Linked DNA regions of Tamandua tetradactyla. The protein of the gene in region 1 purifies or fractionates together with the protein of each later gene. This does not show direct contact. Links are inferred from orthologs where the notes say so. Each region holds a gene or a part of one and is shown in the gene's direction. Other genes may lie near its edges.

The links.
Region 2: the proteins of KAT8 (region 1) and PHF20 purify together in Homo sapiens (affinity purification with mass spectrometry; 3 studies listed by BioGRID and IntAct, counting the BioPlex papers as one, with this or other methods). This does not show direct contact. The link is inferred for Tamandua tetradactyla from reciprocal best matches to the Homo sapiens genes KAT8 and PHF20.
Region 3: the proteins of KAT8 (region 1) and KANSL1 purify together in Homo sapiens (affinity purification with western blotting; 4 studies listed by BioGRID and IntAct, with this or other methods). This does not show direct contact. The link is inferred for Tamandua tetradactyla from reciprocal best matches to the Homo sapiens genes KAT8 and KANSL1.

Annotation. Positions count from the first base shown.
Region 1 is NC_135349.1:23,435,042-23,442,128, reverse strand, and holds the start of KAT8 (histone acetyltransferase KAT8), read left to right. Parts: upstream 1-4,063; 5' UTR 4,064-5,121; coding exon 5,122-5,332; intron 5,333-5,460; exon of another isoform or gene 5,461-5,960; coding exon of another isoform or gene 5,961-5,988; intron 5,989-6,702; coding exon 6,703-6,777; intron 6,778-6,856; coding exon 6,857-7,032; intron 7,033-7,087. Other genes in the region: BCKDK (branched-chain alpha-ketoacid dehydrogenase kinase), read left to right, coding at 79-198, 276-374, 544-617, 933-1,061, 1,155-1,244, 1,732-1,890, 1,981-2,125.
Region 2 is NC_135327.1:16,734,051-16,742,103, reverse strand, and holds the start of PHF20 (PHD finger protein 20), read left to right. Parts: upstream 1-5,021; 5' UTR 5,022-5,158; intron 5,159-8,053. UniProt on the Homo sapiens protein: Methyllysine-binding protein, component of the MOF histone acetyltransferase protein complex.
Region 3 is NC_135332.1:20,449,494-20,457,422, forward strand, and holds the start of KANSL1 (KAT8 regulatory NSL complex subunit 1), read left to right. Parts: upstream 1-4,887; 5' UTR 4,888-4,962; intron 4,963-5,319; exon of another isoform or gene 5,320-5,458; intron 5,459-6,529; 5' UTR 6,530-6,674; intron 6,675-7,929. UniProt on the Homo sapiens protein: Non-catalytic component of the NSL histone acetyltransferase complex, a multiprotein complex that mediates histone H4 acetylation at 'Lys-5'- and 'Lys-8' (H4K5ac and H4K8ac) at transcription start sites and promotes transcription initiation.

The DNA of each region.
Region 1 (7,087 bases):
GAGGACTGGGTCAGGGCAGGGTGAGGGGCTGAGAGGTCAGAGCCGGACAACCTGTGCTTATGGCTTTGTGACCTGCAGATCAAGGACCAGGCAGATGAGGCCCAGTACTGCCAGCTAGTGAGACAGCTGCTGGATGACCATAAGGATGTGGTGACTCTCCTAGCTGAAGGCCTGCGGGAGAGCAGGAAGCACATACAGGTCAGTGCAGTGAGGGCTCAGGCCTGGTGGGGGTCTGACAGGGCGCATGAGGGTTCTGAGGCCCCTCTCTTTACCAGGATGAAAAGCTCGTCCGCTATTTCTTAGACAAGACATTGACGTCGCGGCTCGGGATCCGCATGTTGGCTACACACCACCTGGCGCTACATGAGGACAAGGTGGCGGGCTGGAACCTGAGATCCGGCTGGGGGTGTCAGGGGAGCCAAAGGCTAGAGATCTGGGTCAAGGGCTTAGGGGAGAGGCTTGGGGCTGCTTCGGTGCAGGCAGCTGGTGGCTGAGGAGGGGGGTGGAGGTGTTGCCTAGTCCTGACCCGCTTTCTTCTGCCAGCCTGACTTTGTCGGCATCATCTGCACTCGCCTCTCGCCAAAGAAGATTATTGAAAAGTGGGTGGACTTTGCCAGGTAAGGCTGAACAACCAAGAGGGTGTATGTCTTGGGGACAGGGAGGAGTGGAATCTGAGCCCTTGCCTGGCGTTTCTCAACGCCAGCACTACGGACATTTTGGGTCAGTAAGTCTTTGCTGTTGGGGGTATGGCGAGGTGTTATGTGAATGCTAGGATGTTTCATACCACCCCTGGCTTCTACACAGTTGACTCTGGTTGTGACAACCAGAAATGTCTCCAGACATTGCCACACGTCTTTTAGGGAGCAGAACTGCTCCCAGTTGAGGACCACTGGTTTAGGGACACCTGTCTGGACACATACTCCTATTCACAGACGCCTGTGTGAGCACAAGTACGGCAATGCCCCCCGCGTCCGCATCAATGGGCATGTAGCCGCCCGCTTCCCTTTCATCCCCATGCCACTGGACTACATCCTGCCCGAGCTACTCAAGAATGCCATGAGGTAGGCTGGAGAGTATGTACTGGGGGTAGGGAAGGGAATGTGAACTGGGGTGGAGCTGGGGTGCCACCATCTCCCGGCTCTGTCCCTTCATAGAGCTACAATGGAGAGTCACCTGGACACTCCCTACAACGTCCCTGATGTGGTCATCACTATCGCCAACAATGATATTGATCTCATCATCAGGTCTGTCCTGAGTGGGAGTTGGGCTGGGGTAGACAGGGGGTTCCTGGGCACTGTTTCTGACTTGTTGGATGACCACAAGCCAGTACCTGCCCCACTCTGGGATCTAGTCCCTGGTCAAACACGACACTCCCTAGTTCTGAGATTATCTATGAACTGATATTAAAGAATCTGGAGCTAACTGCTGACCCCGGGGCCCTGCTCCTCTCAGCAATTCAGGGGTCTATTGTTGAGAGACAGTCAGGAGTAACAGTTGATGATGCTGGGCTGAGAATAAACATCCAGTCCTGTGAGAAGGGCTAGGAAGTTGGTGGTACGGGTGGACGCAAGGGTAGAGAAAGGCAGATAATGCAGACAAGGCCCAAGGGTCTGGGGGAACCACATTCCACCTCTGGTGGAAGGGCCAGGAAGGCAGACAGCACTATCTGATGAGAGGTGGTGAGCACCCCATCAAAGCTGACCCAGACCCATGACATGGGCATTCTGCCAGGATTTCGGACCGGGGAGGGGGAGTTGCTCACAAAGACCTGGATCGAGTCATGGACTACCACTTCACAACGGCCGAGGCCAGCACCCAGAACCCCCGGATCAGCCCCCTCTTTGGCCACCTGGACATGCACAGCGGCGGCCAGTCAGGACCTATGCACGGGTGAGGCACCCCCTGACCAGGATGGAGGGAGGGGTCCCTGGGGACTTGAGTCTCTGAAGCCCCCTGTCCTGTCCCCATGCCCACCTTCAGCTTTGGCTTCGGGCTGCCCACGTCACGGGCCTACGCGGAGTACCTCGGTGGCTCCCTGCAGCTGCAGTCCCTGCAGGGCATTGGCACGGACGTCTACCTGCGGCTGCGCCACATCGATGGCCGGGAGGAAAGCTTCCGCATCTGACCCCGGAGCACTTGGTCTGCATGCCTGTCTAGCCTGGGCCACCCTCTGTTAGGACCTTCCAGGCCAGGCAGGTCTCCCCCTGCTCCACACGCTGCTGCATCTTGGGTCCTAGGTCCCCAGACAGGTGGACTTAAGTGGAGCTGGGAACCACCCCCCACTACCTACCCACCTAAACAGGGACTACTTCCCTGCCTCCAGGCTGTGGAGCAGGGAAGTGGGGACTCTTGAGGCCTCCAGCAGCAGCTCCATCATTCTCGTTCCTGAGGGACTCTCACTTTGACCTGCTGTTTATTAAAGTTCACATTTTGAATGCCCTTTTGGGCCCCATGTGTGGGGAGGGCAAGTGAGCTCTTGCTTCTGGCCCTGTTGATGTTCCCTGGGCCCTTGGGTTTAACTGGGTCCTTCCCCAGTCTTTAACTATTCTGATGGCCTAGCAGACCAGGAATGGAAATTGAACCAAGTTTCTTGCACATTGGTTTGACGGGAGCGGGGTTGACTGGCAGTTTATGAAAAGACCTATTACTCATTTAACAAGTGTTTCTAGATCCCAGAGAAGTATTGAAGGTCTGTGTTGGCCCGGCTCCAGGCCTCAGTTCTGACTCTTCCCTTCCTGCTAGTCACGGTTTCTAGAGCTGAAGGTCACCAGACTGAGCAACTTCCTGAGCCACCTGACTCCTGAGCCTCAGTAAGGTTAAAAATACTGCCTGCTAGCTGTGTCTCCTGCTGCCAAGGAAAGGAACACACAAGGTTGTGTCCTTGTGGGCCTTAGCAGGAACTGGGTGCCCCACTAGAGGAAGGGAGGCCCTGATATGGGTAAAAGGAAAGGGCTCCAGATAGCAGGTGGGCTCAAGGTTAGACTTGAAGTAGAGCTTCTTGTGAGAAGGGAAACTCCAGATGGAGTTTTAGGTGGGAGCCCTTGCCCATCTTGCCAGAGGAGGAGAAGGAGGGCCTGAGGACCTGTCTGGTGGGTCTGGGGAAGAAAATCTTAAACCTCTGTCTCCTGCCTTCACATCTGAGAGGCCTAGTGGCTAACTGCTTGAGGCCAGCCCTCAGCTTACTCTATCTTCTACCTTTCATGGTGACGCATGGCCGTCGGGGTGGGGGTGGGTTGAGGGGAAGGACAAGAAATTGTATCTGGAGATCAAATGGCAGGTGGTAGGAAATCATTGATTTGCTGGGCTGAAAAGCCTACTGGCTGCAGAGCAGGGAGGTGAGGCTGGTGAGGTGGTCAGAGGGCAGAGCCTTGAATGTGTAGCTAAGAAGCTGGGGTGTTTTCCTGGAGGCAGTGGCATCAATGGACGGGTTTTAAACTACAAAGGGAATATCTCAGGTAGGATTCCCTAGACATAGATCCTGCGAAGAGCATTGGTGTCCAAGAAAGTGCTCCTAAGAGAGACCCAGAAGGGATCGAGGGAAGCAAGAAAAAGAAGCCAAGCAAGTATTATGATCTGAGGCAAAAGTCCAGAGCCAGTTAAATTATGTCTTAGAATTGAGGCCTGGGAACTAAACTGAGTCATTAACTACTTGCCTATCCATGGCTAAACGCTGTGTTGGGAAATAGAGGAGGAGAGCTTTTCTAGGCAAAACAGCTCTTGGCCCCTGGGCAGGTCACTAAAGAGCCTCAGGTGCTGGCCTGTGAGAACACATCAGAGGGAAACTGGGCACACGGAAAGAATGAAAAGAGGTCTCGCAATCTGGCAGAGCTTCTGCCTAGTCCTAGGAGGAATAGTCAAATGCGCATGGGCTAGTGGTCTGTAGTTTTGGGGTAGAACAATGAGGGGGCTGACAGTGTGACCCTAAAAAGCCCTAGGCTAATCCTTAATTAGAAAGGACAGCATAGGTACCTGAATTTTTCAGGTGAAGTGTGAGGCACTGGGACCCTGGATAAGTGGGACAACAATCTTAAAGATACAAGGGGGGTGGGGGAAGGCATTAGAGTTTTTTTTTCTTGCCTGTTGTTTTTTCTTCTGCTTCTTATGCTGTCAGACGTTTGGCCCTCACTGGCTCCCACGTGCCTCCATTTCCCCAAAAAGCCAATTTACCAACACTTCCCACCGCTACTCCTCATCGATACCCAGCTCTCAGATATTTATTGATCCTCTGAGTATCCCACTCCTCTCATAATTGTCTAAGCCCAGTAACCAAATTATAAATCAAAGGTTGAGAGAGTGGTCAAAGAAAACGTTTGTTGCGCACTGGTCTTGACTGGAGTATGCAAAACACTTTAACGTGTCCAGTTTAACCTCTACCGAGGCTCAGAGAGAAAAGGCACTTACTTGTATACCCTACCCAGGAATTTAGGGGCAGGGTAGGGTCAGAACCTACAAGACGCTCTCCATTGTATCCATTGCTTTTAATTTATGCTCAGGGAACGTCTGGTTTGGAGGGGCCTGGACCTTTCTTTAGAAAGCCTTTATTCTGTAAAACTAGTTTGTTAACTCTCCCTGGACACATTTATCCTGCTTCCTTCACCCCAACTCAACTCCCAGCTCGAGCAAGGGAGACAGTTTCTACACTCTTCAACAAAGGGCGCTAATGTTAAGCTGGGGGAGCTGGGTAGCATGGGGAAGGAGGTTAATTCCAGGCTCAGAGAAGGCCTGATGCCAAAAGGGAAACACTGCGACATTATCCACAACCCCGAAGCCAGACAACAGTGGAGGCCACGCAAGCTCTGGCCCACGTCTTAGCTTCCTCTTGGCACCAGGGCCTTTGAAAAGACAGAGCTGAGTCATCACATCAGGGAAGTCTTTCTCCTCTCTTCGACTCTAGGGTGCGGCCATATTTCTAAACGGAACCTAAGGAACTCAAAGGCAAGCTGCGCAGTAGATGTCAGCTGGTCCCGGCGCCGCGGAGACGGTCATATAAACCAATGGAGTCCTGCTACGTCACAGAGCCCGCCCCCTACCCCGCCCTGAGGCTGACTCCGCCAAGCAGAGTTAACCCGGAGCTAAATACGCGGCGAGGCGCGGGTTTCTGACGTCACTTCCACTACAGCCATGGCGGCACAGGGAGCGGCGGTGGCGGTTGCAGCGGCGACTTCAGGGATCGCGGGGGAGGGCGAACCCGGGCCTGGGGAGAATGCGGCAGTCGAGGGGACCGCTCCGTCCCCGGGCCGCGTCTCTCCGCCGACCCCGGCACGCGGCGAACCGGAAGTCACCGTCGAGATCGGAGAAACGTACCTGTGTCGGCGGCCGGATAGCACCTGGCGTGAGGGCGGGGCCCAGCATCGGGGGCGGGGTTTTGAGATCGAGGGGCGGGGTCTGGGAACGCGAGCTCAGAGGACCCCAGAGCTGGGACTGTAAGTTGTTGAGGGCGGGGCGGGGGGTGGGGCGGGACTGAGGAATGAGAACGCGGAGTTGGGGGCTCTCGTACTCTGCGTTACTTTGGATTCCTTCCCGGGCGTCGCCTACAAACCCCACCTGTCAGGCAATCATCAGATTCTTTTTCTTCTATGCAGAGTTGTTATCCCACATTCTTGCCCTATCTTAGGCTTCTCTCTTTTTCTTGTTAACTCTGCTTCCTCACTGGTCGTTTGTCTTTGGGTCTTCCCAGTCCATCCATTCCCTATGGCCTCCAACAGAGAGGAGCTGAAAAACGAGCTTCCCCTTCCCTTGCCTTCACTCATCTCCAAAATGAACTGCAGACTCCTTAGAATGACATTCATCCCTGTGGCCTGCTTTCTGGTTTTTAGTTATCCCTAACAACAGCTTCATCAGACCAGACTGTCTGTGCCTTCTGAGGACCACCTGTGGCTTCTGCTTGGAATGTCCTCTCTTCCCTTACTCCTTGCTCACCAGGCTAGCTCCCACTCAACCTACTCATCATATCCTCTGGGATGTCATTCCTGACCCCCTTCAGGCAAAGTGAGTCGTTCCCTTCTATATGTACCTACAGTATATTCCTCATACCTCAGCTATGGTATATGTAATGTTGTAATTGCCCGTCTGTATCTTCCCCTACAAAATTGGGAATGTCTGAAGGGCAGGACCTGTTGTGATTCATTGCTGTGTCCTCTGTACCCAGCAACGTGGGATGGGGTCACACAGTGGTTACCTTACTTGTTTATTGACTAGTTTGCTAGATGTCAAATTCTGTACTAAAAACTTTACAGACATTAACTCACCCTCCAAGGTGGGTACCATAATGCCTGTTTTCCAGAGGAAGAAACTGAAGCACAGAACGCAGAAATACCCTGTGTATTTCTATATAGCTAGAAAGTGGAGGAGCTGGAATATAAACTCAAGATGTCTGAACCCAGAGCCAATTCTCTTGATGCTCCAAATAAATGAATGATGGTATAAATAGTTAAACAAGCATGAGTTTGTAGTTATACTTAAGCTCACCTAAGTATTGGCTCTTCTCACTTTTCAAACCTGTGACCCTGGGTAAGCCTCAGTTTTCTCATTTTAATCTAAGATAGCCTGCCATTGCACAGAGTTGTAGCAGAGTGAATGGAATGACAAATGTGGATGGATGGGTGAGGCTACATGTGGCCCTGGAGTCTTCAAACTACACTTCAGTTGCTGGATCCCATCCCTTCCTTGCTTCCTAATGATACTAACCATTTTCCTTCCCAGATTCTGCTGAAGTGATCCAGTCTCGAGTGAATGACCAGGAGGGCCGAGAGGAATTCTATGTACACTACGTGGGCTGTGAGTAGTTTGGGGTGCCCAGGGCCTGGGGGGAAGGGGTGGGCTAGCAGGGCAGCACCCTCATGGTTCATCCCCACAGTTAACCGACGACTGGACGAATGGGTAGACAAAAACCGGCTGGCACTGACCAAGACAGTGAAGGAAGCTGTGCAGAAGAACTCAGAGAAGTACCTGAGTGAGCTGGCTGAGCAGCCTGAGCGCAAGATCACTCGTAACCAAAAGCGCAAGCATGATGAGATCAACCATGTGCAGAAGGTCCGGGCCCCTTCCCTTTCCCTGGGGTCCCAGGAGGCCCTGCTACTTCTACCAA
Region 2 (8,053 bases), on another chromosome or scaffold:
TTATTCTACAGTCTGCATATATGTGCAGTGCTGTTTGTAAGTGGAACATTGTTTATAAATTGCAAAAGACCAGAAGCAACCAAAATGTTCGTTAATAGGGGACTGATTAAACAAATTATGATACTTCCACATAAAGAATACTATGCAGCAAAAACAAATTAGGAAGTGATTTTTATACCTTTGTATAAAATGTTTTGTAGAATGTTCAAAATATGTTTAGTGGGGGTGCAAGGGTAGTTCAGTGGTAGAATTCTCACCTGCCATGTGGGAGACTCGGTTTCGATCACCTGCCATGCAGGAGACTCGGGTTCGATTCCCAGTCCATGCACTTTCCCAAAAAACAAATGAATAAAAATTCAACAAATGGTACTTCAGTAACAGGATACTCACATGGAAAAATAATGAAATGAGAAACCACTCTACAGTATACAAAAAAAAGTGTTTAGTGAAAAAAGTGGAGGACAACATGTGTAAATGCTTTTTTGTGTGTAAAAGGTTCTAAATAAGAACCTATATTCAAATTTGCCTATATATATATATATGCATAAAGAAACCCTGGAAGAATACTTAAGAAAGTAAGAGTAGGGGTTATCCCACTGGTAATTTGGCTGATGAGAGACAAGAATTTGAGGAAGTCTCTGTATTATATACGTATTATGTAATTTTTGATATTTGAACCATATGACAGCATTAACTATTTAATTGTGAAATTACAAAAAAATTGGGGAGTGAAATGTGGTACCTGGAGATTCAGAGAGTCTTTATTTAATTAACCTCTTTAGCCTTTTGTAGTAGTTAAGTTCAGCTGTCAACTTGGCTAGATGATGGCATCCATTGCTCTGTTGCTGTGAACTTAAATCATCAACATGTGAAATCATCTATGGGTGTTACACCTGCAAGAGTGATGTTTAATCTAATTAGCTGGAGACTTAAAAGGAGAGTTCAGAAGAGACAATTCCTTCTTGACCAAAAGGAGGAAAAGAAGTGTATTAAAATAAGGCATCAGTGGCTAAGAGACATCAAATAGTGTCAAGAGGGTATTCTGGAGGCTACTCTTACGAAGCTTCAGTTAGCTAAATCCCAATAAACATCACTCCTGTTAACTCTTAAGAATACCTAGGTTATTAAGAAAAATTTAAAAAAAAGTATTCAGTTTTGAAAAAAAATTATAAGAATACTTTTTTATCAGTTGTAACAAATATTCCAAACTAACTAATGCAAGGTATTAATAATAGGGGAGATATATGGGAACTCAATATTTTCTGCATGATTTTCCTGTAAACCTATGACTTCTTTATTAAAAAAAGTTTTTTTTAAAAAAAAGAACACCTAGGGCTCAAAATGAGACTCTGTACAAATTTCATGCACTAAGTTTGCTTTCCTGGAACCTATAATTTCCAGAGGGTTCCTAAGCCATATAAATCCTGAAACCCAAAGGGACCAGCCTCTCTAAAATTATCAGTTAATTGAGTCAGAATGGGCATTGCCTAAGGATCCCTACAGAGTGGGAGAAGAATCAGAGGAGAAGGAGGAGGTATAACAGAGAAAATACGATTTAACAAATGAATATCACTACTGAATCACTATATTATTATTCTTTCTAGCCCCAGTGGTTTAGAGCAGCTGGAAGGAAAAATCTGAAATAGTGGAATGGTAACCCATAACAAACTCTGAAGTCTGTTCTGTAAGTATTTGTAGAAGTGTACTTTGAAAAATTATTGCTTTTTCTTTCTTTACTTCATATATATATTTCACAATTAAAAACATTTAAAATAACAAAAAAATAAATAGAGAGAGATCAAAAGAGAGAAAAGGAGCTCAGCTCAGTTCAGAACTCAGAGCTGACACAGACCCAGAGGTTTGGAGATGAAGAAAAAAAATGCCCCTGGGAAAGCCATTTGAACCTAGAAGCCAGGAGAGAGGGCCAGGGGACATCACCATGTGCCTTCCCATGTGACAGAGAAACTCAGAGGAACCCAGCTACCTTTCTTCTGAGGAAATGTAACTTTGTAACTAAATAAATCCTCTTTATTAAAGCTGATCCATCTCTGGTGTATTGTATCCCTGTATCCTTAGCAAACTAAAACCCCTTTATAACCTCCATTCCCTCAGTCCCTGGGCCTAAACTCCTCCCCCTTTTCCTTTATCTCTGGGCTGGTGTGAGTTTCAGCCCACAAGAAACATTTATTAGGTATGCTTAAATTACATGGGGACAGTCCTAGGTACTAGGGCACTCAAGGGACAAAGGAGACAGAATATTGTTCTTGTCCTTGAAGTGTTCCAAGTGCAATTTATTACTCTTCTTAGTGACGGGGAGAAATAAAAAATGTTCCCTTTTCCTTCTCACTTCTCTTCCTTATAATCTTGTAAAATGCTGGAAATAAATTTTAATTCCTTCTTAATTCTCCTCCCCCTTGTTTGGAGAGTAGGTAAAGCCTGAGGGAGATAGGAGCTTTCCATCAGGCCCTGACAGGAGAAACCTCAGGCCAGGGACAAGACTGAGCCTGTTTCCCTCAGGCCCCTGATGCCTTGTCTAGGTGCTTGGACCTAGGCTGCTGCTGTGACTGTGGTTTCCTGCTTCCTGAATTCTCACACTCAGCCTAGTGCTGCAGAGATCATACCACAGTTCTTGATTTGGGGACTGAAATGCTCAAGCTTGGGGGCTGACAAACTTACTCTAAGTCCACCAGGTCTAGGACTGTGAGTCACAGCTAAGGGGCCTGGTTTTTGTTTTAATTTCTCCTTGACAGACATATTATAAATGTCTTGGGTTGCATAAGATCAGAGTATAAAGGTTTACTGGATGGAGGCAGAGAAAGATCAGTTTCCTAATTGAAATCCTATCTGGTGTTAGGTTTTTAGTTCTTCTCTTTAGCCAGGCACATTTTGACATCTCTAGACAATGGATCTTGTAAGAAAAGGATCCTAAAATCATTTGCATAGAGCAAGTGTTTACAGTTTCTCATCCATTTCATTTAATCTGACAATTCTGTAAGAGTAGATATTATCTCATTTTACTGTTGAAAACTGATGCCTAGGGAAAGTAAGTTCTTTTCCATGCTGGTATTGAATGCTTCTTGTGCTACTGTTTATCTTGTATACATACAGGATTTTTTTGTGAAGCTTATGGTCTGGGACCACACTTCTGAAATAGTTAGTTAAATAGCACGAGAGATTCTACCCTCTGGAGTTGAGACTCATTCACTCATTCCCTCACTCATTCACACGTATTAGTTGATTGCCTATCATGTGCAAAGAAAGGTTCTGCCCAGTAAATAATTGGGCGATTGAAAGCAACTGTTCTTGAGATGCTGGGGAGAATTTTCAGGTAGAAAACCTCAGGTAGAAAGACGCTGCTAAGGAGGCAGTGGTAAAACCTGAATTTTAAATGAGAACATTGCAAACTGGAGCTTTTTGGCTAGCAGCCAGTGAGTGTCCAGTTCAGAAGAAGGTGGAAGGTCAGGTTTTTTAATCAGAAAGAGCTTAAGTCCCAAAGTACTTTACTTATATCTGCATCAGGTTATTTTTTTCTGGCCAATATCAATCCCCCTGTTTCCACTGAGGGGAGGATACCCTAAGGAGAAGATCATCCCTCTCTTCTTCCCCTGGCAGGCTGGACTAATCCATGTGACCTGAGATTGGCCAATCAACAGGAGCTCCAGGCCAGGACTTTGCCTCTTGAGTGAGTGAATCAAAGACAAAGGCAGTAGCAGCTGCTTCTTGAACTGTTCTCATGTTGTTTGTTTCCCAAGCCTACCCTCTGGCTAGTGCTCTGGGCCCTAATACTCTTGTAATATATTTCTTTTTTGTTTCTGATAGTCAGTGTCAGTGTTTGTATTTGCAACAGACAAAAAGAATGATCACTTACTAGTTGTGGCAATTTCCTTAAAAGGCTGTGAGCTTCTTGAAAAACAGGACTTAAATCTCATTCTACTCTGTGTCTTTGGTGCCCAGCTCAAACCTGGATCTCAACATGTGCAGGTGAAACAAGTGGAGAAATGGATGTTATGTATATATGGGGCTACAGAGTCTGGGATTCTTAGCGCTGTTTGTGGAACAAAAATCTTGATACACTACAACAGCCACTGACATGTCAGCAATTTCCTGTTAATAAGCATAAACCCAGAGGATCCTGGAAAAGTCTTTTCTTCCAACATTTGGGCACTTGGCTGAGATCATACACATGTTTTTGGTTCTCAAATTGTGAAACTTTTGTCCCTGGTTCCCCCATACCTCATCTTCTGCTTTGCCTACCTCAGCTGAGACTCAAGTTATAAAGAAGAACCTGCTAATTTTTTTTTCCAATACTGTTCCATTTCCTTTCATTCTTTCCACAGATACACATTAAACATCTATTATTCACCAGGTTCTGACAATTCAGTAGTGAATAATGTGGTCCCTGACTATAATACGGGAAATAGGCAAATACAACCAAGAGAACAAACAAATGAAATATCTACAAGCCATGTTAAGTGTTCCACTGAAAATGAACTGTGTAAAGCAGAGTAATCGCCATGGGGGAGGCGTGTGATTGAGTGGAACACTTCTGCATAATGTGACTAAAGAGTTCCTCACTGAGGAGGTATGAAACTGAAACCAGCATGAGGAAGAGTTAAGCCTTGCAAAAAGCAACAGCTTATTCAATGGACCAGAAATAAGCTTGGAAAGGGTCACAGAAAATGACAGAAGTCAGCGTGGTCAGAGGATAAGAAGGATGCAGATAGAAGGAATGATGTTTTCAGCAGGGAGGAGACCACCATCATCTAGAAGAGAAGTGATAGTGGGACGGGGAAGAAGTGGGTGGCCTCGAGAAGGTTAAATAGGAGGTTAAATTGACAGGTGATGGATAGTGCTCAGTCCCGGGTTTCGTGTGATAGCGGTGACCGCCGAGCCTGGACTTCGTGTTCCGGGCCCAGGCGCCGGCCTGGTTCCCGCGCGTCAGGACCGTGGGCGTGGTCCGCGCGGGCCGTCACCGCGGTGACTGGGCGGGGCGGAGGGCGGGGCAGCTGGGCCGCTGCGTCACTCGGTGGTGGCGATAGTGCGTGTATGTGGGGGGCGGTGGATACGCTGGGCGCGTCCCGGGGTCACGTGGTGCGCAGCACGCAGAGTCCTTCTGTCGGTTGGTCCTGGAGCGGCGCAGCCAGACCGGGGCCGTGAGGTGAGCTCGCGGCGAGGCGTGGCGCGCCGCAGTAGGCCAACTGGGGCCGGGTCGGTGACGGACGCCACCTTTCCTCGGGTCCCCTGCCCGGCTCTGCTCCCGGTCTGGCCCCCAGCTTGCCCGGCCGGGAGGGAGGCCTGGGGACCGCTGCTGAGAGCGTGGCGGGCGTGCAAGCGGCGCCCAATCCTTGGTGCTGCCCGTGCAAGTGACGGCAGCTGCGGCCAATCAGTGCCGCCCGAGGGGGCTGGGCCGCGGGGTGCGGGCTCTGGGCGCGGAGCTGGGCCGTGTTGGGGGTGGGGGATAAGAGCTAGGAACCCAACCTAGGATGTGTGGGGCTCCCCTAAGAGCCCCATCACTGGCTCTTTCAATTGCCTTGTGCTTTGGGAACACGCGTTTTCTTTTATTGACTGTTTTGTTTTATTCTGGGGAGCACACCCCTTTCTCAAGACCCCGAATATAGGACTGCCCCCTTTTTTGTATAACATGTATTGGCGGCGCAACCTCTTTCTTAAGCTCCAGCCCTGGGGTTTTATCTCAACTTTGAAAGCTCCCCCAAGTTGAGAGTGTACCCTCTTTCCCCAGACCTCCCAAATGGGAGCTTACTGCCGTTTTTTGAACCTCTCAGCCTGGATAGTTGTCTCTTTCAAATTTGGAGATTCGCTGGGTTAACGAGTCGGTCATACCGAGGGTCCAATATCCACCGTTTTGGGGTATTTTAGAGTCCAACAAATGCAAGCCAGAATTCCATTTTCCAGGCCCTAAAATCCGGGGGCACGTTTTCCCAAGTTTCTTAAATTTGGAGGTCACTTCCCTATCTTTGCCTTTCAAGTTTAGGGGTGCACCCTGTTTTCAGAGTCTCCCCAAAATGTTCAAATCTTGAACTTAGGAGCATCTATTTCCAGTTCCAGAAGTCTGGGAATTCACTGCTTTTCCAGTCACTCTGTTCTTCAGGTTGCATCCTTCTCATGAGTTCTTCAAATCAAACTGCCTTATTTCATTGGGAAAACTCATTTTCACATTTCTCTTTGGGGTATTCAGTTCTTGAGGTGCAGCCACCTTCCTGATGCTTAAATCTGGAGGACACATCTTATTCCTGAGTCTTCTCATTCCTGGGCAGTGGTCTGTGGTTCTTGAGAATGCTTCCATTCCATAATTCCCTACCCTTTTTAGTTTTTCTGCCAAGCAAGGAAGACATTTTCTTTTTCATTCTCTCCCTTTGTGGAACCATATTTCTCTTTAGATGCTCTCCCTGTCTGAACCAGTGTACCCCATTTTCTCTTTCTTCTGTGGTGAGTGCAAATCTTTGTTCAACATCTTACCACTTTCTGTTTCTGTGGGCTTTTTTAAAGAGCACATTTCCTATAGTCACAGCTCATGAATTCCCCTCTCTCTTTCCCAGTGGGGGTGCTAGCACTGTTTTTTTTGTTGTTGTCTGTCAACTTTATCCTTATCTTTCTGCAAAGAGGAACTCTTCTCTCTTGGCTTTCCCTTTCTCTGGGCGTTTTTCTGGTTTCTAATTCCTTTTGGGCTTACCGAGTGGCTGTAGAGATTTTCCTCTTCCTTCCTTCCCTTTCCTTGTTGCTGGAGGTGGTTTCAAGTCCAGGACTGTCTGCTGCCCCTTTTCCTCCCCACTCCCCTCCATGTTAGATTCAAAATGGAAAGGAATCCCCTGCATTTCTTTGGCTTTCCACAGGTTCTTTATCCTCCTGGTGGTTTGCTTCCTGTAGGATTCTGATTAGGTACTATTTTCTCCTTAGCTTTATTTCCCTGTACTGGAAAAAAACTCAAGAGATTTTTGTAGCCCAGCTCGTAGCCCATAAACTTCTTCCCTACATTGCTTTCTTCCTTTTATTAAGAAAAGAAAACATTTGAAATCATGTGGTGGGTCACTCTTTGTTCTTGTCCCTGGGTGGGGGATGAATATGTATCTGTCCCCAAACATCCTCTCCTAGATCTGTCAAGCCTTCTTAATCCTCCTCCCCCTACTTTAAAATCTACAATTATCAGGGGCCCCTTGATTCTTAAGTGCTTCTTAGTAGGTTCTTTCTTCTGTATTTCCTTATGCTTTTCCGGTTCTTACTCGGGGCTTCTCAGCCTGAACCCCCAACTATTTTAATTTCTCACAGCTGGAGTCTCAAGTGCTTGTGGATAGTGATGCCTCTGACCTTTTTCCCCTTTGGAAAGTGCTTGAGGGTGCAGCTGTATGAAACCTCAGTGGGGGAGAGAGTTTGGGTCTGAGAAGCCACACCGGCAGGACAAGGCAGGAAAATACTGCATTTTCACGACCTGGTCCTTCTGTATCTCATTTGAAGATTCGATGTTTGTCAAGCACCTGCCTCTTAGGGATGCTGAGAGATTTAATGATACTCTCAGGAACCCATAGGAATTAAAGGGGCTTGTGGAGAAGTGCTCTGAACTCAGTGTTGTAACTTGAATAAAATTAACCATTATCGTATTTTCAGAACAACTAAGCTGTTTTATATTTTATGTGTATGAAAGCCCTAGAGCCAAGTTGTGTTATTTGGAGAATGTAAAATAGATATCGCTTTTAAATTGTGTGGTTATTAGTAAATAACAAATTCATTAAAAATATTGGAGGACTGGCCCATGTTAAAAAAAAATATTGAAGGACTGTTTGAACGGTACCTAATAAAATGTGGTATATAGAAAGTGAAGAGGTACTTTGTCTCTTTCTTTGCCTATTTGACTTTGTCACTGTACTGCTGAATAGTGCAGCCTTAAAGTATTCTACATCAGTAGTTCTGAAGCTTGAATGTGCATATACATTTCGGGGGGAGGGGGATCTTGTTAAAATGCTGATTCTGATTTGATAGGTCTAGGGTGGGTCCCTAGTGGTATTGCAGGTAATGCTAATGTTGCTTGCTTAACTTCTTT
Region 3 (7,929 bases), on another chromosome or scaffold:
TTGACTGGTGCAGATTCTGCCAATCCTCCCTACCTTCAGCTTACTTATTTGTAAAGAAAGACTGCAAGAACTGTGGGTTGTCCTTTCTTTTCCCTTTATGTCATCATTTCATAAGTGGCTGGCTAAGTTAGGAAGATAACATGAGTGAAAAAAGGAGATGACACGGTTCCTTGGTCCTTTTAAGTATCTTAGCTCGCCACCGTCTTTCAGCTTTGGAAGCAAGTGGGGAAAGCACCGCCTCTGGGAGCAGTCAGCATCCGGGTTACTCAGTGATTGATGGACCAGCTTACCTCGCACTGACTTTGAATCTTGCACAATTTCCAGACTATCACGGGTCCACCAATATTCTGTGCTTTCCCGGCATCTCAAACGCTGTAGTTAAATGGGGTGGCAAGGAATGGTGACATTCTAATTGCTTGGATCTCCTCTACTCACACACAATGTCCCATCTGACAAGTTCAAAAATAACATTGTTAAGAATTTTCAGGAAAGATTTTCAAGCTGAACATTGAACCAAGCCGGGGTCCCTTCTGAGCACAGGGGCCTGCGTAATTGCACAGGTCTCAAAGCCCGTGCTGCCCACCCTGGTGATGGAGTGGGGGGTCAAACTATAATTTATTTAACCAGTCTTTTAATGAAGGGCATTTAGGTATTATTTTCCCCATATTTTGCTTACATTGTTTGTTAAAAACCAAACCTGTTAACTGTGTATATACAGGATATCTAAACATTTGGCAGCAGGGAAAATATTATACTTTTTCATTTTATTTAAACGCTCTGACATAATCTTAATTATATTCTGCGTTGAGATTTAAGCCTTCTTCCCCATGCACAACTCTGTGATGATAATGAAGTAAACATCCTCGTGTGTCCAGACTTTTCAGAGAGTATGTCAGTAGGATAAACTTCAAGGCATAACAACGTTACCTATCACATGGTAGGTGCTTAATACATATTTGAGGAATGAATAAACTCTTAGAGGTGGAATTGCTGAATTAAAGGGCATCTGCATTTATAATTTTGATGGCTACTGTCAAATTGTCCTCCAGAGATGTTGTAACAATTTATATTTTCACCAGCAATTTACAAAAATGCCTATTTCCCCAACTGCCTTGCCAACATAATGTGTTGGCAAACTTTATCTTTGTGACCTTAGATGGAAAAAAAAGTTTCTCAGTGGAGTTTCACATGTATGTCTTTTAGCGAAGTTGAGCATCTTTTATTTGAGTCATTCATATTTTTTTTTTGTTAAATTCCATCATATATCGCGTCTCGGCCTTTTGGCTAAGATCAAGTGTAGTATCTGTTCTTATCAGTTTAATGTCTGATACGTCCTCTATCCGAGGACAATATATTAAATGGATTTTTGGAGCTGGGAGATGGAATAGGAGCTTGCTCCGTCCACTCCACTCATCGACCTGGTATTGCAGTACTTCCAGAAACGGTGCACCCCCTCCTCAATTGCGGTGTGAACTGACAGACTTGCTTTTTCCTTGCTCTCCTGCTATGCTTCTTTTCTTTACCAGACCGGGATGTCTACAGCTCTTTTCGTGTTTTTCCTCCTAAGCTGCTTGTACTGTTGTTTCTTCGTCGTCTCTTTCTTTCTTTCCTTTCTACTGTCACGTCCTTTACTTGTGGCGATGGCCAACCCAGGTTAAAAAAATTAAATGAAAAAAAAATTAAATTCCATCATATCCTTTGTCCATTTTTCTAAACATTAAAAAAATTATTATTTAGCATTTTATTGTGAAATTTAACATATATACATAAAAGTATATAAAACTTTTTTTGTACATAAAAAGTTATAGAAAAAATACTTGTGTATTCAACACCCTGGTGAAAAAATAGAATATTGCCAGCCCTGTAGAACAGCCCCCTACCCCTCACCCCCTCCACCTCAAGACCCGTCAAACACAAACCCCTCTACCCCTACTGGTTCTCCTGACTTTTATGGTGTTCACTTCCTTGCTTTTTCTTATAATTTTACCACCTATCCCTAAATAATATAGTTTTGCTTGCTTTTGAAGTTTATATCAGTGGAAACATACTATACATATTTTTCATAGTTTGCTTTTGTGCGTGTTCAATGTTACCTTTGTAAAAATTCATCCATGTTGTTGAACATAACCATAATTTGTTAATTTTCTTTGTACAAATATAGCACAATTGATCCATTTTATGTTTGGTAGGCATTTGGGAAAGTTCCAGTTTTAGGTAATAAGGAAAAACATTGCTGTGAATATTCTTGACAGTAATCCTGATATTTAAAACTATGCATTCCCTTAGAATATGTATCTAGTAGTGGGACTGCTGGGACCTAGGGTATGCATATCTTAAATTTTATTAGATTGTACCAAAATGGCTGTACCAGTTAATACTGCCACCTGTGTAAAAGGATTTGCTGGTCTTTATTTATTATTTGTAGGAGAAAGTCATATACAACATTATTGAAATTAGCCCTTTGTAATATGAATAATAAAAGTTCTTTTTGAGTTTACAATCCTTTTAAAGAAGCATGGATATTCTCCCTAGAGGAATGAAAATGTCACCGGAAGAAATGGAGTGTTCTAATTTTGAAGCATTTAAATGAAAAACAGTGTTTTGTGCTAACCCTCTTATCGCTTTTAATCTGTTATTGTACGTGACATTAATGTGGATAATCATACCAGCATTTTCATGAATGCTCTACAATACAAGATGCCAAATATAATAATAATGATTGTTAAAAATTGTGTGTTTAGCTTGTGCCAGACAGTGTTTTAAATCCATTATATGAATTCACTCATTTTAATTGGCACAACTCTAAGAGGTAGGTACTATTTTTCACCCCATTTTACAGGTATATGAAATAAGGAGATTGATGGAAGGTGTTTCTAAGCAGAATTAATAAACTCATAGAAAAAATTCATAACTGATAAAGATGTTTTCTTTTTACAATTTGTTTTCCTTCTTGGGAATGAATGATATCCTATCCTGGGCTCATTTTCCCCATCATCTCTGATCTGAATATACCTCATAGTTTTCTCTTTTTTCTTTGGAAGCCAATGTGTTTCTATCTTTCTTGCAATCCTTCCACATGATCCCTTGTCCCCTGTGTCACAGGGATGTCAGGCATCTGCATTCAGGACTGGGAAGTGAAGAGTGCTTGGAGCTTGTGGGGAAGAGGAAGAGAGGAACAAGGATGAGGGGCGAAGACAAGTTCCAGGCCGCTGTGGACATGTGGAGATTGGGGAACATGATCTTCTTAGGGTAGGGTTCTTTAATCTGTGGTATACAGATTTGGGAGACCACGAATTTACTAAAGTCTAACAGAAAGTTAGCATTTCCTTCAGTCATGAATGTAGACAAGATATCACAGGAGCATTAACAGGACCAGTGATCTTGTCTCCAAGAGAAAGCACAAATATTTTCATATTATATCACAGTTGCAGATATCTTGAAATACCATTTATGCTCATTCACTAGCTCAAAATTATGGCAGTCATTAGACTCTCTGCTAGGTCTTATTTAATGCATTAATAAAAGCACATACATTATTATATCACACTTTTAAAATATTTTAGTAATTGTATCTCAATATGATTGGTTTCCTTCGAATTCCTTTAAAAACATTACTCTGAGAAGGGGTCCACATGCTTTGCCATGCATGGACAAAATTAAAAACCCTGCTTTATGGATGTTTTCTTGGCTTTCATTCTTACTGTCACATGGTTGCCTAAAGAGCGTGCCCAAAGTAAGCCTCACGCCTATTTTTCTGGATACCCTCCCTCCCTTAACTTTCATTCGTTTTCAATATTGTTTCTTTTACTTGACTGACCCTCTTTCTGATTCTTTTTCAGACTCTTAACTTTAAATGCAGCTGTCTTTACACTTTTGGGGGGAATTTATCCTTCAGCATATCATCAACCACTATACTTAGGTGGAGAATCCTAAACCTTTTTGAATCCAGTCTGTTCATCTGCTCATAAATCCCATAACCCTAAACTGCCTCTGAGTCACCTCTGTTTGGTTTTACCACTGGTATCTTGAACTGCAGTATTAAAAACTAAGACTCCTCCCCAAAGCTGCACATTTTCCTAAATTTCCTGGACAACCATCTTGTCTATTTCCCTAGTTTTTTGACCTTAGAATTATTTGAAATTTTTAACCAATTAATTTTCTTTGAATTGGCAATTTTCGTGAATGGTACAAAAATCAAAAGATATAAAAGAATAACTAAGGTGATATGTGAGACGTAAGTCTTTCTCCCACTTGGTCTCCCGAGGCTTCATCTCCCCTCCCAGGAGAGAACCACTGTTATCAGCTCTTTGATTGATTTTTTTTTATTCCTTTTTATGTTGGCTATAGCTCAAGTTCTTCTCTGTCTCTGAAATGTGTGCCCTTTCTTCTTCAGGCTATCATGACCTTATACCTGGTTGACTACACACACGTACGCATGTATCTTTATAGCCATAATATCGATATCTATATAAATATATATATGTGTGTATATATTTACATACATATATTAAATCTCCCCCATACATTAAATCTCTCCCTTCCGGCCTCGAGTTTTCATCACGTAGCTTCCTGGATGAAAAACCTACAGGGGTGAGGAGCAGGAGCTGGGGGTGATGGAGAAGAGGACCTAAAGGGGACTTGGGTAGGGGGTTCCGACTGGCCGACTGGTGTGAAGCGCTGCCAGTATTCCCTCCGTCTGTTCCCTCCATCTCAGGGCCCCTTCCTGTCCTCTCGTCCAAACGCCTCTGGTTTCCAAAGGCCGAGACAGAGACAGCGAGATACACAGAGACAGAGACGCCGAGGCATCAGCATCCCTCTCCTCCTTCCGTCCCGCCCCGCCGCTCTGATGGACACCCGCCATCAGCCAATGGTGCTCATGATGGGCCCCGGAAGGGCCAATGAGAGACGGAGGAGGGCGGAAGATTCCCCGCCCCCACTTCTAGGCTTGGTTGAGCCGTGCAGGTAGGTCCCGGGCTGGGGGAGCTGCCGTTGGCACTGGTACCCCGGGGGGTAGGGGCACGAGTGGGTGGGGGTGATGGTGGGGAAAGGGAGGTGGCCCCGACGGGGAGAGCCCGACGTGGCGACCCGGCCTGGAGGTGGGGGCCGAGCGGCCCGGGGAACGGTCGCCGCCGAGGGCCCTGGCAGCGGCAGGACTGGGGGAGCGGGGACGCGTGTGTGGGCACAGGGACCCTCACCCCGCGTCCACCCGCAGGCCTGGGCGGCGCGCCGCGGGCCGAATGGTCAAGGGGTCTGGCTGCCCGGGGGCCGGCCGGGGCCGGGGACACCGAGCAGAGCCCGGGGCGCCAGGCCGAGCCGAGGTGGGACGGACCGACGCGGAGAGGAAGGGAAGCTGCATCCCGCGGGCCGCCCCTCTTGAGGCCAGCGGGGCAACGGCCGAAAGCGACCCCCACGTTGAGCCCACCTCCCCATTCGCCCTTTCCTTAACCACGGGAATAAGGCAAGACGAGTCGCCCCACTGCGAGAAGGTTGGGGTGGGGGGAGCTTAGGTTTGGGACAAGGGTCCAAGGTGGGGGGAGGGGTGGGAACTCGGACTCCCGGTCTCTCTCTCCCGATGCTTCTGAGGTAGGGATCGTGGGAGGGCATATTAAACCCGACTGCGACTTGGGTCGAGAGTCAAACTCCCCTCACCCCTCCCACCCCCAAAGGAAAAAAAAAAATACGATGAGCAGTAAGGAAAGTGATGCCAAGTCTTCCAAGCCGAAGTGACAAACGCATAGTTAAGAATAAATCCACTCCAAAGGTTTTAATTTTCTTTAAATGGGAGTTCTCTAGCCTTTGATTTTTCGAAATTTATTTTTACAAAGGTGGGTGCTGTCATTTTTGTCCCTACTCGGGCAAGCCTCCATTTTAAGTGAAGCAGTAACTGGTTAAGCTGGAATTTCATTCAGGCCTAGGATCCTGCAAGAGGGCATTCAGTCCATCCTCCTGACCCCGGGCAAACTTGCCTCCCTTCTCATCCTTAAAATTAAATTGTTTGGGCTGCTTTTAATGATCTATAGTGAAGAAGGGTCTTTTATTTGCTGACAATGTTTTAGTCAAGAATACATTTTATTTTTCAGGTAGAATCTTCTCTGAAATTACATTTAAGCTGAATAAAATGTAGGACAATCTGAATGATCAGAGAGATTTTAATTTACTAAGTTAAATGTGTCAAAAGTCATTTTTAGGATATTAAATTTTTTAATTATGTTGATGAAATGCCCTGGATAATCATTACTTTTCACTTATATTTTGGTTTTCTATATTCTGTGAGAAGCAATTTCATTTTATCTAAAATGTGTTTTATATATTAATTTCTCTTTTTATCTGAACTATGTATATGTATGTGTGTGTATGTATATAAATACAGAGAGAGAGAGAGAGATGCCCTCTTTCAAAAGGCAAGTGTGTTTTGTACATCTTTTTAGAAAAGTAAGGCAAATAGTACTTCAAATCTCTGCCCAGGAAGCTTAAACTGTTTGCTTATTCTTCTGCATTTTTTAATCTAAGTGAAAGTCCTCTCTTTCAGATATCTTCCTGAAACAATAAAAATTTTTCCTACCTGCTCATACTTGGTGAATCTAAGGGAATTACTAAGACTCCCTTCTTGTTCGTTTTTGGGTATTGCCTGCACTGTTCCTGACACTATGAATGCTATTTGGATGCCTCTTAAGGTAAGACAGTATTTTTCCACTATTGGCCTCATTTTGTTTATTTTTTATTTAGAATCGAGAACTTTCTAATTCTTGAATTTGCTATTCTTCAACCACCTCATGTGGTACTCCTCTCCTGTCAAAAATTAATATTGTGCTTGCTTGCTAGGACTGATTGATTATTCCTCATTTTGTATTTGCTACTTCTCTTGATTATTGGTAATAACATATTAATGAAGTTCTTAAATTAACTTCCATTGTAATGATGTGTTCATCCTTTTTACTTTAAATTATGACAGACCACATAGTTCTAAAATTTCATTCCAGTCCCAGTAGGATGGGTTGGCAATTTAGACATCATGGTCCACTTTCAAACAGGTACTTGAGAGTCATAGGTATTAGGGTGCGCCCACTCTTGCAAATCAGTAGCTGATTCATGTGTTACAAAAGATGTGTCATTAACTGTTTGTTTATTCTGAAACTTCATAGTATATTAGAACATTCTGAGGCATGCTGGTCTATGTGGACAGCTCTGTTGGGGACTCCTGCTTCTGCTCCCTAGTCCTGTGCGTGAGATTTTATGCTGTTTTCCTCACAGGTAGCATTTTGTGCCTAGTTTATCTCACAGGTAAACCTCATTTGGACTGTATGGGCAGAATGGCCTTTAGATGAAAAAGCTCTCATTGGTATGATGGTTCTTCAGTCTCTTGCCTCCTTCCCATCCCTTCTATATAAATGGTCAAAGGACTTTCCATTAAGACTAAGGAGAAGGCAAAGCTTAGAACATGAAGGGAGGAAAATGGGAGGAAGGATAGGGAGAGAGAGATGAGTGACGGAAGCTTCCCCAGGTGACACAGCTTGTCTTTCCTCAGAGTTAGATACTAGTATAGAGATCGTTCCTTGGTAATCTGGTGTGTGGAATTCCAAATGTATGCAATGGGTAAATCAGAGAATGCAGTCTGTGTAACCTAAATATTTGGACTTGTGGTAAATCTTTAGGCAATGTAGACTGAGTTCTTATCTTCATTTATGTTAACAGCTGCACTTAGGATAATGAGTGATTTTATTAGTATGAAAGAAGCCAAAGTGACACACTTTTTCCAGTTATTCTCCCATAGAGTTGGAGCTCCAGCCAGAAGTCCTGAACCCATAGGAATTGGAGGACCTCGAACCAGAGTGTTTCTCTTTGGGATGGAGTGTTTAGTGCCACGACCTGGTGGCCACTCTGGTCATTAGGAAGCAGACAAGGGATTATTAGCCTTTTGTTAATAACTAG